Linked DNA regions of Sus scrofa. The protein of the gene in region 1 purifies or fractionates together with the protein of each later gene. This does not show direct contact. Links are inferred from orthologs where the notes say so. Each region holds a gene or a part of one and is shown on either strand. Other genes may lie near its edges.

Region 1 (3,500 bases):
TAATTCAAAATGTATCAAAATCTAAATGTAAATACTAAAATTATAAAACTCTTACATGAAAACACAGTTTTAATTCTTCATGATCTTGGATTAGGTAATGGTTTCCTAGATACGACACCCCCCCCCCAAAATTAACATCAAAATTAAAACTTTTGTGCTTCAAAACATACCATCAAGAAAGGGAAAAGATAAGCCACAGAATGCGAGAAAATTTCTGCAAACCATCCATCTGTAAGGAACTTGTATACAGAATATACAAAGAACAATGAAATCTCAATAATAAAAGATATATTGCCCCATTAAAAAATGGGCCGAGGATCTGAATAGACATTTATACACATAACTAATCAGCACAGGGAAAGATGGTCAATATGACCAAGCATCAAAACTACATGAGACACCACAACTTCACACCCACTAGGATGGCTATAATCAAATCAAAGAAGACAGATAATAGGAGTTCTATTGTGGTGCAGTGGGTTAAGGATCTGGCACTGTCACTGCAGCAGCATGGGTTGATCCCTGGCCCAGAAACTTCCACATGCCACAGGTGTATCTAAATTGAAAAAAGACAGAGAGTAACAAGTGCTAAGTAAGAAATTACAGCATGGTAATATTTAAAGCTTTTCTTATTAGCTGACAGTGCATCAACAGCAGAAATAACCTGCTTCCTGATAACTAGAGCAATAATACTTGTGTACTGTTAGCAAGAACAATCAGTTTAAGCTTTATTCCTTCTTTACTGAGGCACTCTTCTATTTCATACTTTGCCAGTTGTATTTATTTCCAAATGGCTTTCATAAATAAACTATGATTAAGATAAATAATTACTTGGAATATGAAAGTAAGATTCATGTTATTTTTAGAGAATTTGGTGCCTCACATATGCTACTGGGAATGAGTTAGAATACTGTGCCTTTACTTCTTCACACATACACACAATTCTAAATGATAATTCAGAATTTTAAATAAATACGTACCAAAATCTACCCTTGTTAATATGCACTGCATTGGGTGGTCAGTTGTATGCCTTGTTGTTGTTGCACCACTTTCATAACAAGATGCACAAAGATCGTAATCGTAGCAAATTAAGCACTTATATCTGCGACCTCGAAAATTTCCTTTTAAACATGCATCACAGCTGACACCTATAAGGAAAAAGAAATAGTATTAATTAGCAGTCATAAAAGGCCATTCTCCATTTCATTTTTATAAAGCTGCACTTCTAACCCCATATTTCCTTTCCAAAATGACTAGAAACAACATAGTAAAATGATATGGGAACTTTCAACAATATAGTGGATTTATTACTGGATTTACACTCCTAATGAAAATAACTTCATGTCTGACAAAATGTAGAACAACTTTTCAAATGTCTTGATGAACTAGGAAGAGGATAAAAAACCAAGTGAAAGAGGAACAGGTAACTGGAATCACTAAAGGAGGTGGGCATCTACCTGGAAAAATCTGAGCTTAGATTTTCACAGTATTACAGGAAAAACAAAGCATAGGAAGCAAACACCAATGTCTACCATGGTGGGGTGTCTGATAGGCAATTCCTTACAAAGCTTAGACGCTAATATACCCTCAGTATACAGGTGAGCTAAAAATCCTCCTTAGGGATTACAAAACTCGCCTGTGAAATTCTCCTCCCACTAGGTACGAAACAACAACAAAAAAACGAAACAACAAAAAACAAAAAACAACAAAAGACTTATAAGAAGTCTGGGCTGGTTTGTGGTTATAAGTAAAGAGCCTAAATTCAGACTTCCAAATGGTTTCTGGTGAAGAATTTATTTTATTATTATTATTATTATTATTATTATTATTTTGGCCACGGCATACAGAAGTTCCCAGATCAGGGAAGTGAAAGCATGTTGAAGTTGTGGCCTATGCCACAGCTGTGGCAACACCAGATCTTTAACCCACTGCACCACAAGGGAACTTTCAAGAATTTAACTTAAAGTGATCCTGAACTAGAACTGCCGCCAAGCATCTGGCAGAAACAAAATTCCAAGGAATAAGAGTTCATACACGAGATACCACCACCAACAAAAAAACACCATCAGAAAGAAGTAGCAGAAACAGAGAGTGGAATCAGACTGGCAAAGGTTTGTATCAGAATTGAATACCAAATATACTTAACATTTAAAAGGAGCTTGAAAAAAAAGAGGCAACCAACAGATATGAAAATGAGCCAAAGAGTTCCCTGATGGCCTAGCAGTTAAGGACTCAAGAGTTGTCACTGCTGTGGCTCAGGTTCGATCCCTGGCCCAGGGACTTCTGAATGCCACTGGTGCAGCCCAGAATAAAAGGAAAGAAAACAAAATGAACCAAATGTCTAAATGTAAAAAGAAAAAAATTAATTACAATTTAAATCTCAATGGGCAGGTTTAATGGTAGGAAAGCCTTTTATTCATATATGACATACTTATTTGTATAGAAAACCCCAATACAGCTATTTTTTTTTTTTTTTTTTTTTTTTTTGCCTTTTAGGGCCACACTTGTGGCATATGGAAGTTCCCAGACTAGGATCCAATTGGAGCTGCAGCTGCTGGCCTAGGCCAGTCACATCAACGCCAGATCAGAGCTTCGTCTGAGACCTACACCACAGCCCATGGCAAGGCCAGATCCTCAACCCACTGAGTGAGGCCAGGGATCAAACCCGAAACTCTATGATTCCCAGTTGGATTCGTTTCCGCTGCACCACAATAGGAACTCCTGAATACAGCTAAGTGTTTAGAATAAAGCATTTTAAGCAAGGTTGCTTAAAGTAAAAAACCAATTAAATAGAATTAGTTTCTTCATTCCAAATGAGATAAAAATATTTTTTAAAACGCCCCATTTATGATTCTACTTACATGAGGTACTTAGACTAGTCAAATTCACAGAAAAAAAACAAAGCAGAAGAGTGGTTTACTAGAGGTGGGTGGAAGGGGGGTACTGTTTACTGGGTTTCAGTTTGCGATGATGAAAAATTCTGGAAATGGATAATGGTAATAGTTGTACAATGCAAAGGTACCAATGCCACCAAAATGTACATGTAAAAAGCATTAAAATGACAGATTTTAGGTCATGCATATTTTACCACAATAAAAAAAAAAAAAATGCCATTTGATGGAGTTCCCATTGTGGCACAGTGGAAACGAATCCAACTAGGAACCATGAGTTGTGGGTTCGATCCCTGGCCTCACTCAGCAGATTAAGGAGCTGGTGTTGCAGGCTGGCAGCTGTAGCTCTGACTGGACCCCTAGTCTGGGAACCTCCATGTGCTGAGGGTGCGGCCCTAAAAAGCAAAAAAAAAAAAAAAAAAAAAAAAAAAGAATAACAAGATGGAGGGATCTGCTTAACAAATCAAGAGCTACTAATACAAAGCTACAGTAATTAAGATAAAATGTCTTGGCATAGAGACAGATGAACTGACCAAAGGAACAGAATAGAAAGCCCCACATTGAAATCTGTTTCATGATAGTAAAAGGTCATTAGAGATCAGTGAGGAA
Region 2 (4,271 bases), on another chromosome or scaffold:
AGATCCGAGCTGCATCTGCAACATACACTACAGCTCACAGCAACGACGGATCCTTAACCCACTGAGCAAGGGCAGGGATCGAACCCACAACCTCATGTTTCCTAGTGGGATTCATTAACCACTGAGCCACGACAGGAACTCCAGATGAGGGTTTTAGTATCTGCAAAACAAATCAAGGACATGGTTCAGGATAGTATCTATAGCTCTTTTTATTACCCCCTCGGGCGCACCTGTAGCATATGGAAGTTCCTGGGCCAAGGTCAAATCTGAGCCGGAGCTGCCACCTATGCCACAGCTGAAGCAAACACGGAATCAGTAACCCACCGCACCAGGCCAGGTATCGAACCTGTGCTGCCACAGAGAAAAGCCGGATCATTAACCCATTTTGCCCCAGCAGGAACTCCTATTTATATCTCTTGAGGAGGAACTAAAGATCCTTGCCTTTGCTTTATGGCTAAACTATTATTATTTGGTCTTGCTTGCTCGTCTTCCTTTGTTTCTGCATTTTCTCACTTCTATGATTAAATTTGCTCCTTGGTATTGGGGAAAGTCTAGGATGCTAAAGCTTTTCTATAAACCAGAGGCAGGGGAAACCGTGTGGGGTGGGGTAGGAACTGTCCCTGGTAAGGCACTATAGGGTCCTGCTCGGTTTCAGTATAGCTGCCACAAAGCAAAACAAAGTCATCACTGAAAAAGGTACAGACAGTATGAACAAAAAGCAAAGTGAGATTCCTGCAGGCCAAAAGGAGAGTCTTCTGGATGTGGGACTGATAAAAGAAGGGAAAGTTAGGTGAAGAGGAAAGAGGAAGCCAAAGATCATGTTTCATTTGTAATTCATGAAGTAATTTTTTTTAAAGCCAGCTTAATTAAAATTCACAATTTTTTTGTAAGCACGGTGTTATCAGAAAAAGCATATAATATCGACCCTGCCTTTTAGGAAATTACCATCTTCCAAGACGTGCATACATACTCTGGAAAGATCCCCTCTCATTACATTATTTTATTTCCTCTTTAGATGGCTTTATCACATTTGAAATTATAATTTGCTAAGGTAAGCCCCCTAACGGTAGAGAGTTTGTCAAATTTGTTGCATGTCCAGAATCTTCAGACAGCGTCCTGCGCACTGCAAACAGCTATTTGAATAAGAATTCGTTGAATGAAATGGAGAATCAGATCATAGGGTAAAATCATCTTAACTCTCTGGCCTTGAATCTCTCCGGGCGGCCCAAGATCTCCAGCTGTCAAACACTAGGGGGCAGACCGAGATTAGAAGAGGAACGTTTTTTCCTTTTCCGTCAGAAATTCTCAGCTTTTGCTTAGGGTAGCATCACCGAGGGCGCCTTTAGACATCCTGAAGACCAGGCCGCACCCCTGACTAAATCAGAATCTCCAGAGGGTGGGGCCCAGGCATTGGTATTTTGGAAAGCTGCCCATTAGATTCCTACGTGCAGCTAAGGGCGGACCTGAGGCCGAGGGGTGGGGGTTAAGGTCTTGTGACCTTCAGCGAAGCCGGAAAACGGTGACAAGCTTTTAAGGACGCGGTCGCACTTCGCCCCTACGTCACGGCCTGGCGGTGCTGCCCGGTGTATTTCATCAACCATGGAGGAGATGGGCCAGTCCCCGAGGTAGCAACATGCCCCGCGATGCTGACCACGGCGGGGAAGCAACAAAGATAAACTCAAGCTTCACGCTCTTGAGCCGGGAGGCAGGCGCAGCGTGGCCCCGCCCCCGAACGAGACCCCGCCCCGGGCAGCGTGGCCGTCCCTCCTCGCCCCCCCATCCCGCGGCCGGGCTGTAAGGGTGCGGTCCTGGGGAGCGAGGTCCGGTCTGGCGCGCGTGCTCTCTCTGTCTCTCCATCTCGAGCTCTCCATTGCCTCAGTTTCCCTCCACCGGCGCGCGGGGCCCAGGTCTCTCTGGCAGAGCGCAATGAGGCGGGCGGCGCTGCGGTAGGTCGCCGGGGGGGCTGGCGGGGAATGGACCGAGAGGCGCCCACGGCAGCCCTCCACGCTGCTAGCTGGCACCGACGGAAGGAGTGGGCCGCGGCGGGCGGGGCTCATGCTTGGGGCTTTGGGGCAGAAAATGGGGCCGGGTGGGGAAGGGCGCCAGCCCACCGCCTACCGGGACCCCGCTGGCTTGGGGAGGGCTACTGCGCTCCTCCCCTTGGCGCTTTGTAGCCCTGAGTTTGATATTAAAAGTGAAGCGGCGCTATAAGGGAGAAAGTTGGTGGTGTTCCCTGACATTTCTTTCTCCTTGCTCTTCGGGGTGTGGTTTAGGGTTAGCGCCTTGTCAGAAAGCTGGTATTTAGAGTTCCACATTACTTTTCCAGCCATCAACCCTCCTCTGGAGAACATTAAAGACTCTTGACCCACGCGGACTCTGACTAAAATGTGTTGTAATGTGGGCAGAGATTGTAGGGCACCTTTTGTGCTCTCAGGGCCTCAGGATTGTGTGCCCTTGGCGCTGACTTTACCCTTGATGAACAGAAAGGACCCTTAAGGCTAGGTGCGGGGAGTGGCTTTGTTTGGGCCCCTTGGACAAAAGAGGATGCTTTTTTCTTTTAAGTCTTTGCCCCAGCTTGCCAGGTGAAGGCCTAGGACTTTGAACTCGGGGCACGTCTTGCTCCCCCTCCCAAGGCCCCTTCATCTGATCACTCCAGCTGTTCCAAATTCTTTCTGTCTGGTTGAGTCCCAGGGGGCTCACCCCTGTTTCAGCTTCTGAATTCATCCCCGTACAGGTAAGCCAGCCCTCTTGGTGTGGCCCACAGTGGTTCCAACCAACAATGTCCCCCATCAGTTCTTTTGGGGGCCCTGGAGCTCTGAGCTCTCTAATTGTCCCTGTGCACCTAGCTGTCAGTTGAAAAAGGCTCCTCCTCCTCTCTCTCACTTACTTTGTTATACTTTTTTTTTTGTGTGTGTTTTAGGGCCGCACCCACAGCATATGGAAGTTCCCAGGCTAGGGGTCAAATTGGAGCTACAGCTGCGGGCCTCCGCCAAAGACAGAGCAATGCAGGATCTGAGCTGAGTCTGCGACCTACACCACAGCTCACAGCAAAGGTGGATACTTAAACCACTGAGCAAGGCCAGGGATGGAACCCGTGTCCTCATGGATTCTAGTCGGGTTGGTTACCGCTGAGCCACTATGGGAACTCCTACTTTGTTACACTATTTGAAGACAGGTTGAAGGTCATTGCAAGAAGGGCCACAGTTGGCTTCAGCTTGCATTGGACATGGCATGACAGGCTTCCACAAGCTCCAGGGGTTTTGACCATGTGCCTTCTCCCAGGAAACCTGTCTTGATTTCCTCTCCCTCAATTTGGAAGTCCTCTGTCTTTGCACTGAACTCCTGTCAGCCTGCCATTCCTTTTTTTGTGAGAACTGTTGAACCTTAAGAAGGTATTCCTTTAGTGTCTAGTGAGAGAAAGAGTACATAAATTAATACAGGCTAAGATGATTAGGTCATTCGACTGGTGGGCAGTCTTTGTAACTTTTTTCCCCCGGCTCACAAAAGAGTTACCTGAATTTTTTTAGTCTCTAAATTGAGGCATTTTCCCAGAGTGGTGGTCATATGAGTGGCATTGCCTGTTGTACTGAAAATTCTTCCCAGACACTCATTGTAAGCTTGGAATCTAGAACAGCTAAGACGCTTTTGTTCATATCTTCAGGTGACTTTTGTGACTCCGTTGGCTAGCCATGGAGAGGTTGGGCTCCTTGGTCTCCTTTTGAAATTGGAAAGGTTCAGTCATGGGGTCCTAGGACCTGACTGTCCTAAAGGCCTCTGGACAGTTTCTTCTAAACATCCAGAGGATTTGTTGTTGGTAAAACTCCTGAGGGCTTTTCAGGGAATAAGCCAGTAACCTTAAGGTCCTGAGGTGTTGGGCAGTGATTAAACCACTCTGCTCCCTCCACTTCAGTGTTTCCTAAATAAAGGGAAGTAGCCTGAGACTGAAAAGAGCAGCTACCCTGCACCTGTGTGCTTGTGTGTGCGTGTGTGTAAGTGTAAGGAGTGGGGGTTGGGGTCACAAGAACTGGGCTCTATCCATTGTGCCAGTTGACTGACAGTGGGAAAGTCATCTAATTCCTTTGGGCCTCAGTTTTTTCAGGAGTTTGGTCTGCCTCAGAATTTTTTAAATCTAGAGGCACATGGGGGTGTCAAAGGGGGTGATCTGTGAATCATCTGAAATAGTATATGCTGTTGGGTGTGTCAATAAAAAAAAATGTATCTATCTCCCACCAAACTACTGGCCATAAGGATCCACCATTTTCATCACATTT

The links.
Region 2: the proteins of KCMF1 (region 1) and ACOT9 purify together in Homo sapiens (affinity purification with mass spectrometry; 3 studies listed by BioGRID and IntAct, with this or other methods). This does not show direct contact. The link is inferred for Sus scrofa from reciprocal best matches to the Homo sapiens genes KCMF1 and ACOT9.

What each region holds. Positions count from the first base shown.
Region 1 is NC_010445.4:59,652,938-59,656,437, forward strand, and holds part of KCMF1 (E3 ubiquitin-protein ligase KCMF1), read right to left. Parts: intron 1,149-3,500; coding exon 981-1,148; intron 1-980. UniProt on the Homo sapiens protein: E3 ubiquitin-protein ligase which accepts ubiquitin from an E2 ubiquitin-conjugating enzyme and then transfers it to targeted substrates, promoting their degradation by the proteasome.
Region 2 is NC_010461.5:19,859,262-19,863,532, reverse strand, and holds the start of ACOT9 (acyl-coenzyme A thioesterase 9, mitochondrial), read left to right. Parts: upstream 1-1,471; 5' UTR 1,472-1,599; coding exon 1,600-1,625; exon of another isoform or gene 1,626-1,926; coding exon of another isoform or gene 1,927-1,946; intron 1,947-4,271. UniProt on the Homo sapiens protein: Mitochondrial acyl-CoA thioesterase. Catalyzes the hydrolysis of acyl-CoAs into free fatty acids and coenzyme A (CoA), regulating their respective intracellular levels. Regulates both mitochondrial lipid and amino acid metabolism.